Tribolium castaneum: one gene and its partner. The protein of the gene in region 2 binds, or shares a complex with, the protein of the main gene of each other region. Links are inferred from orthologs where the notes say so. Each region holds a gene or a part of one and is shown on either strand. Other genes may lie near its edges.

What was found.
Region 1: Asx (region 2) and sba share a complex: the UniProt entries of both Drosophila melanogaster proteins name them as parts of the polycomb repressive deubiquitinase (PR-DUB) complex. The link is inferred for Tribolium castaneum from reciprocal best matches to the Drosophila melanogaster genes Asx and sba.

What each region holds. Positions count from the first base shown.
Region 1 is NC_087397.1:5,887,633-5,891,466, reverse strand, and holds part of sba (methyl-CpG-binding domain protein 5), read right to left. Parts: intron 444-3,834; coding exon 320-443; intron 1-319. UniProt on the Drosophila melanogaster protein: Non-catalytic component of the polycomb repressive deubiquitinase (PR-DUB) complex, a complex that specifically mediates deubiquitination of histone H2A monoubiquitinated at 'Lys-119' (H2AK118ub1). Important for maintaining stability of the PR-DUB complex.
Region 2 is NC_087398.1:15,858,695-15,862,528, reverse strand, and holds part of Asx (polycomb protein Asx), read right to left. Parts: intron 504-3,834; coding exon 1-503. UniProt on the Drosophila melanogaster protein: Non-catalytic component of the polycomb repressive deubiquitinase (PR-DUB) complex, a complex that specifically mediates deubiquitination of histone H2A monoubiquitinated at 'Lys-119' (H2AK118ub1).

The DNA of each region.
Region 1 (3,834 bases), on a different chromosome or scaffold from region 2:
CCCCAATTTTTCAAATCTCGGTCGATAAATCATGCTTTCTATCAGCGTAGGATTTCCATCAGACGCGTTTAGACGCGCGGTCCAACTCGCGATCGATACCAGCGTCGACCATCCACCTCTTACCCGTCTCTTTGTGCATCTCCTAGTAAGGTTGTTCGCCCCGTTTCGCTAAAAACGATTACCTTTTGTATCTAGACGTTGAAATGATGTTTGCTCCAAACACCCTTATCTTTACCGCTTCGCATTTTCTCGACAGTGTCGAGGCTCTTGTCAAAATTGCATCGACTTTTCGGCAAACTTGTTGCTTCGTTTCACTTACCTTAGGATCGAAATTAAAGGTGTTGTCATATTTGAAATGACATTCTAATCCACACTTGCAAGTGCCCGACGTGAGGAGATACTCTTTGACTTGTTCCGGAGAACTTAAAGCTGTGTTACTTGGGCTGAAACAAAAAAGCAGTTGGATTTATTTCTAGAAATAATTGTGAGGAGTTAAAATAGCTTTGACAGTGTTTTAATGTCGAGTTAATGGAAAGCAATGAACACGTTTATGGTTTCCCATTTAACAAAGTACGGAATCAAAGACAACACCTTTACATCTCGGTTAATGAACCAAATAGTTCCAATGTACGGTCGTTTGATACGATAAAGATCGAAACTCGAGACTAGAGAACAACCACACACTAACTTACATGATTTACAGCCTTACTATTCACAATTCAGTAACACTAGATAATATCTCCGCTCCTCATTTCGCTTAATTACGACCATACAAACTGGAAGCGGTCCCGAGCGTCATACGTTATTTTTTCTACCGCCTATTTGAAAGTGTTTTTATTGTAACACAAGTTAAGTGAAATACTTGTTCGAGCGTCACACAAACGAAACAATAGAATAAAAGGTACAAGTTGCCAAGAGCGCTCCAGAGAAATGAAGGGCTATTCAATTCGGAGCAGATGTTCAGACGAGATTTCAACACAGACTCCAACAATTTTTCCGGTAAATCTTATGCAAATCGCAAAAATTTAATCGTTTCAATTATCCACACAATGAAATCGATTCCGAGCCAGCTTTAATATAGTCACATGCAAATTAATAAGCTGCGCTAGACGGATCATCCAGTCGTGAAAACAGGACTTGAAGAGTCTCACAGATTGCAGCTGAGTAGTTTATGAATATGCATGGACACATTGTGCAGCTCCTTATTCAAACATACTCCCGGGTCGTGTTTGCTCAATATACAAAACGAAACGATTTTGTTTTATTGCTACTCATACTGGTAATTAGCCGTTTGCTTTGACGCCTAGACAAACAAAAAATTAAAAGGAGTGTTATCTATCTGGTTATGTTAACATTAAACGGGTTTATGATCGCTAAAGCTAAACTCTGCGGTTTTAAAACGAACGAGCTAGAACCGCATTTTTACGCGTTTTTGTACAGGTACGCCCAGCCAAGATTGCTCAATCAATAGTTCTGTTCTAATACGCCACTGTGGCAAACCCAAAAATAAAATAAAAAATGTTTTCTCAATTTTTTAAATCTTTTCAGCCGAAAATGTAGCTGGATCACGCTGTATATGTGGCAACTGACAAAAATAGTTTCTAGTTGTTGGCGCGTCAACCGCAAATTTTTATTAATCTTTCGACATTCAAGATGATTTGCGGTCAATTAATGTTTCCAAGGTTTCTGACTAAACCCACCGTTGCGAAAAATTCTGCGGTTACATATCTCGAACACAAAGTGCGCATTTATTGACGTTTCTATTCTCGTCTTAAGGCAAACAATGACGTGTTTAAAAATTATATAAAATTAAATTTGTACACAACCAGATAATTCTAGCCGTGTAAATATTTCGAAAAGAATATTTTTAAGGTAAACAAATGCGCACTAATTATCACAGAAACTAAAAATCTGTATCCTTGAAGGTTATCTTGCTGAGGTTACTGACAGGTGTTTATGTAAATATTTCTTCACTCTATCAAGTAGTAAACTTTTTTCCGGTAGTATGTTTGTATTTTATGACACCCTTGTATCCTAATCGTCGGACGTCATAAACAGATTTAATGTTTCTTTAAATGGTCACGTATTTGAGATTCTTTTGGGCTTTTGTGTCACAAAACTCGTTTGAAAAAATTCAAGGTTGGTTTAACAAATCTGCGCAATCAATCACAGCTGACAAGTGTGGGTTTTTCAATTAAAAAATCGTAAAGGGGATTTTTCTCGAAATCGAATTGATGATAGTTCCAGTTGGTAATTTTTAACGAGCGATTAGTCGCCACGACCGATCTCATGTGCGAAATGAATAGTAATGATGCGAATCATTAATGGGATTGTCGCCTAACTCCGACGCTAGATTAAAAGACAATTAAACAAGATTAAAATGGGATGACAAAGCGGTGCCTTGTTTCCTCGCAGCGCACGAAATTAATTCATTAGCGTCGCGCTGGGGGCCCCGATTACACAGATAATCTGTATCAGACTTCATTACTCTGCGTCCTGGTTTTGTTAGGCGGTCGACCATTATTCCAGAGAAGATAATCTAGGTCCCGGATTTTTTCAAAAATTCACTCGCAACACAATCAAACATTCAAATCGGATCGCAAGGACAGAAATTACAAACTCGCCCTTAATTCCGTCTTTAACATCTTATCTGCTTAAGCCTGACTTATTATAATTGAATCCGAGCCTAAACGCAAAAGGTATACGTTGTATGTAAATCGGAACATTAGGAATCCGAAAGTACTTTATGAGCCACTTATTGACGACAACGTACTAGTTATACCATTTGCGGTCGTTGGGTCGAATGTTTTTGTTCAATAAGACAAAACGAAACCGAATCCATTCAATATTGTAACTGTACTTCAATAAAAAAGCTCTTGTGTTCCAAGTACCAATTAACGTCTAAAGAATAATTATCTTCGTCGATATTAACCATTCCCTTGTTTCGTTTTTGCTCGCATTCGCTTCCACTCAACCGATGACCATTTAACATTCTTTTTGCATTGTTTCGCATGCAACTGCATCGTTTTCACCTTCTCTTTGTTTTACAAGAATCTTTTTCGGACACTCGTGTAATTGGTTATTTTACCGGCGAAACGCAGCTATTATTGCTTAGTCTATGACCTTCGAGACGGCTTAAACGATGCAATTTACAATAATATATCATCGTTTCTTATCCGCAGAAAGCTAATCTATTATTACACGTTTACAGGGGAATCACCTCTGCGTGCACCTAGTCGAGAGCGTTCCAATTCAAATAATTTCTTCATCAAGTTCTTTGTGGCAATGTCAGATTTTTCTGTTCGAATTAAACCTCGCGCAAGTTGGCAACTCGATCAGAACTTCCCAAAGCTGTTCGTAAATTAAATAAACACGTTTAGGAAGTTTTATCTCGCGAATGTTGTACACAAACGCTATTTACGAGAGTTGAGTCAACTTTGTAAAATAATTCGAGTAAAATTTTTTCGGCTTTAATCTGGCAGACATTCCGACCAGATGTTCGATGTGGAAAAAAGTGGAAAACAATCCCACAGACTTTTTCACTGTTTGTCAGTTAGCAAAGTGTTAATGTTCAGGATACAATACGAGACAACAGGTGCGTTTAGACACAAACAGATTTATAGTCCACCATGATGATAGATACAGGAATGTGATTCGAATCCGCCTACTTTACAATACACGGACGCCTATATATTTCAGTGTCGAGTTCTTCATTTCAGTTTTTGTTCCGACACTGGATCGTCCAATAAAATTTTCTCTAATTAACGACGTCATAAAATTTCATTGCGAGCGACCGTGCAAAAAGTGAATTTGCGACTGTCGATGCGAAATAAC
Region 2 (3,834 bases):
CGAAGGCAAACAAACGATGGTAGTTGGCGGAATCACAGTCGTTACTGTCTTACTAACAGAGGGCGTGACAGTCGAATTCGTTCCATTGCTCGAACTGACTGTACTTGTTATGAGACTATCGTTACTAATAATTTCCGGTGTTAGAGTCACTTCCAGCTCGAGTTTGACTTGATTTCCGGTGAATTCCTGATAGTTTTGGTTCGGTTTGTTATTGGAGGTGGTGGTGGCGTTGGTGGCGTTATCATTGTCAGTGGTTCCCAAAGCCGCTGCCACCATTTCCGAATCCATTTTCACATCGTAAGGCCAATCGTTTGGAACAGGGAAATTTCCTTGTTCTAGTCTCACTTCGAGTTCTTCTTGCATCGGAATCACTTCGACGTGTTCGGTGGGATTCTCCTGACCGACGATGCCGGCAGGAACAGACTCTAACGCGTGCAAAGGCACTTCTAGAAGTTTCTCGGTGCTCGAATCGACTAAATCCCAACAGCAGCCTTCTGTTGGCGCTGAAAACATTTAAGGGCGATTTAGATTGTGGAAACAATTGACGCTGAATGTGCGATAATGAACATGGTGTTTTGGTTATACGATAGACTTTTGCAGACTCGACACGATTGATAAGTTATAAATCGTGACGGTTTTTAGACCACCAACCAAGACAAAAAATATTGAGCAAACAGATTTCCGTTGCATTTTTAAATAAAAAGTCTTAATGTGACTCGTTTGTATAGGTACTTACCCACACATTAGACCACGAAATTCAGTTTCGGATGAACGATTAAATTAGGCGACGTCTTTAAACCGTTTTTTTTTACAACTGCAATACATTTACCTGTAATGGAGTTAGTCCACTGAGGTAAACGAGAAATCATGAGCCAAAACTTCCTTTCATATCTAAATTTTGTATTATAATAAATTAAAGTAATTTAAGTACACATTATTTTTTTAGTAACCAATAGACTCAGTAAATGTTGCAGTGAGTCAAAAATTAAATTATATACAGGGGCGATTCACGAAAGCCTAACCAAATTCTCTATGCAACCACCATTACATTTCGCAATGATTCGTATTCGTATTCCTATTTTTGCTAAATGATGCAAATTCACTGCAAACTGTACAAATATCTGAGAACATATATAACACTGTTTTAAGACTAAAGTCATAATCCAGTGCTTATTTATTAATACTTGTGATCGTGGGACGGATTCAATTACAGGGACAAGAAATAAAAACAAGCCATCACTATCAGTGACATGTCCATAAGTCCAAGGGAGTAACGTTGTCATAAATTAATACTTGTCTTAAGTGATCAATATGGCAAATATTTGATACAAAGTTAATATTGAAAACAACGATGTTTAATGCAAACAGCTATTAGAAAGATTGGCCAAAAATTTCCTGTAATTTATTAAAACTGAGCTCCAAACTGAAGAAAGTTATCCACATTTAAAATAAGTAACACAGTTGTAATCGTATATAAAGTACAAGAACGGTAAGGAGATTTTACCGATCGAAAACAATTTTTTTCTTACTTTTTTTAAATTTATTAAATATTGTCACAATAATTGTCAATACAGCAGCTTATGACTACCGGTTGCTAGAGCTTATTCCAAATCTGGTGGCGAACTGACATTGTCAAAAATGACTGAATTTTGACAATAAACACATGTTTACTATTGAAAAAAAATTGTCCATAGGCGTCGTAATAAAATGATTTTCAAATCCACTGATAGTCTTTAAAAAATTATAGTGAGAGGCGTAAAATGAAGAATAATGAACAAATTATTAACAATAATAGTAATTTTTGTATGTATCATCGTCCTCAAAATTTATTAAAATAACAACTAAGTAAATTTTAGCGAAAAAAATGCACGCCCATGTATTTCATTATCTTAACCAAGTGAGTGCATTTCAAGAGACTTTTATGTCACTGTCAGTTCGCCACCAGACATGGAACCACCTTTACGTCCAAGGCGTCGACAAAATTACCTACTGATGCCAAATTTAGTTACCGACGCATTGGGCGTAGCAACTAGTAAACACCACACTTTGACAAGCCCATAAGCGTAAACATAAGCACAACATAAAGAAAACAAGAAAAATAGTTAATGTTCGTTTCAAAAATATTGTACGACCCATTTATTATTTTTTTACTGATCAAAACCGGATCAATTACGCTTTAATATTACCCTTAAAAATTATATGATGACGTCATGGCGACGTCATATTGACCACTGTAACTTATTCAGTCAAAACTGACCGCAGATAAAATGTTTTTGTATTTTCTGTTTTAGAAAAATAAAAGAATTATGAATTTTATGCATTACTTTAAGCTCACTCTGTACACTTCTTCAGCATTACTTTCAAAATTGGTACTTTGCTCTGTAACCACACAACTTTATTTATTGCTTTCCGTCTTATTCAAAAGTACTATTCTGTATTTTCGTTTCTTTACCACTAAAAATTGAAGAATGTTTTAATTTCGAAAAGAATTCCAGTAATTCGATGATTTATCAATTAGTTTTTTCTACAAGCAGACAATTTAAGAATAAAACGATAGATTCTATGCTTTGTATTCACATGGCTTCGTTTCATGCACAAAAATTAAAGTAACAAACTGTTCTATAAAAAAGAGTTGGTGTGTTCGATAATTTATATGTTGGTTCATCAGAAAAATTAACAACAAAAAATAAAAAAACAAACACTAATACAACGTTTTCTTACCAGGTTTTCCTTATTTTATTCAATTTTATGGTACAACTTCCAATTTCTTACGATCACAATAAAAAATACGGTCAACTATAATACAAATTTGTTTGATCACAATAGTGCATAAATACATATTTACATGTATATGTTAAATGTCATTTTTATTACACTGCTTACATGTTCTCCAATGTCAAAAAATCATTTTTTGTAATCCCATGCTATTTTAATGATATTCGTTATGAAACGAGTTTTTAATATAATTTTTTGTAATTTGCCCCCTTTTTAACGTTTTTAAACAAAAATTGTTATTTTAGTCGATTTAGAGATTTTTTTAACAGTTGATAATGTTTCAATTTTGAAAATGAAAAATTGATTTCAAAATTTTGTTTTATCCAAATTCTGTCAAAAACAAGAATATAGATAATAATGAAAGTAATCTTGGATGAACTCCCCCTAAAATTTGTAAAATTTGCAAAAATACAGTCTCGAATTTGCTTCTTGCCAATCTGAAAATTTTCGTAAAATGTTCGGCAAATAATGACTATTATGACATTGCACTTGATGACGTTGCGTGCTTTAAGATGCCTATTAAAGCATTAAAAAAGCGGCAAATTACAAAGGAATTATTTATCATAAAGTATATTTCGCGGTCTCTGAAAGCCTAAAACTTTCGTGTTATTTTACCAAATGGTGTGCGCAAAAATGCACAAATGCCTGTAAAAAACTACCGTGAATGTTAAAAATATGTAAAGACGTAAACTACAGTTGTCGAAGCCAAAAAAAAATTCTATGTGAAAGGTCAAAATTATCGTTTTTCTTTTATTATTCTCGGAAACAGTAAGCCTTATCATGAAAATGGTCAGACAAAAGTTGCAGCTCATACCATCATCTATAAAAATTGTTTTATTTTTGTCCTACAAACAACCAATCCTGAGTTTTCTCCATTCGAAATATCGAAATACAATCAGGGTGTTCAATGTTAAAACACTACCTTCCGTCAAAATGGCATTTTGCGACCGCGAACGTAGATGTCTCGCACTAGTGCGCGAACTTTAATTTACACGGTGATTTAGAAGAGTCAGACAATCTTTTAAATGGTGATAGAAAACATTAAAAGAAACCGAAAAG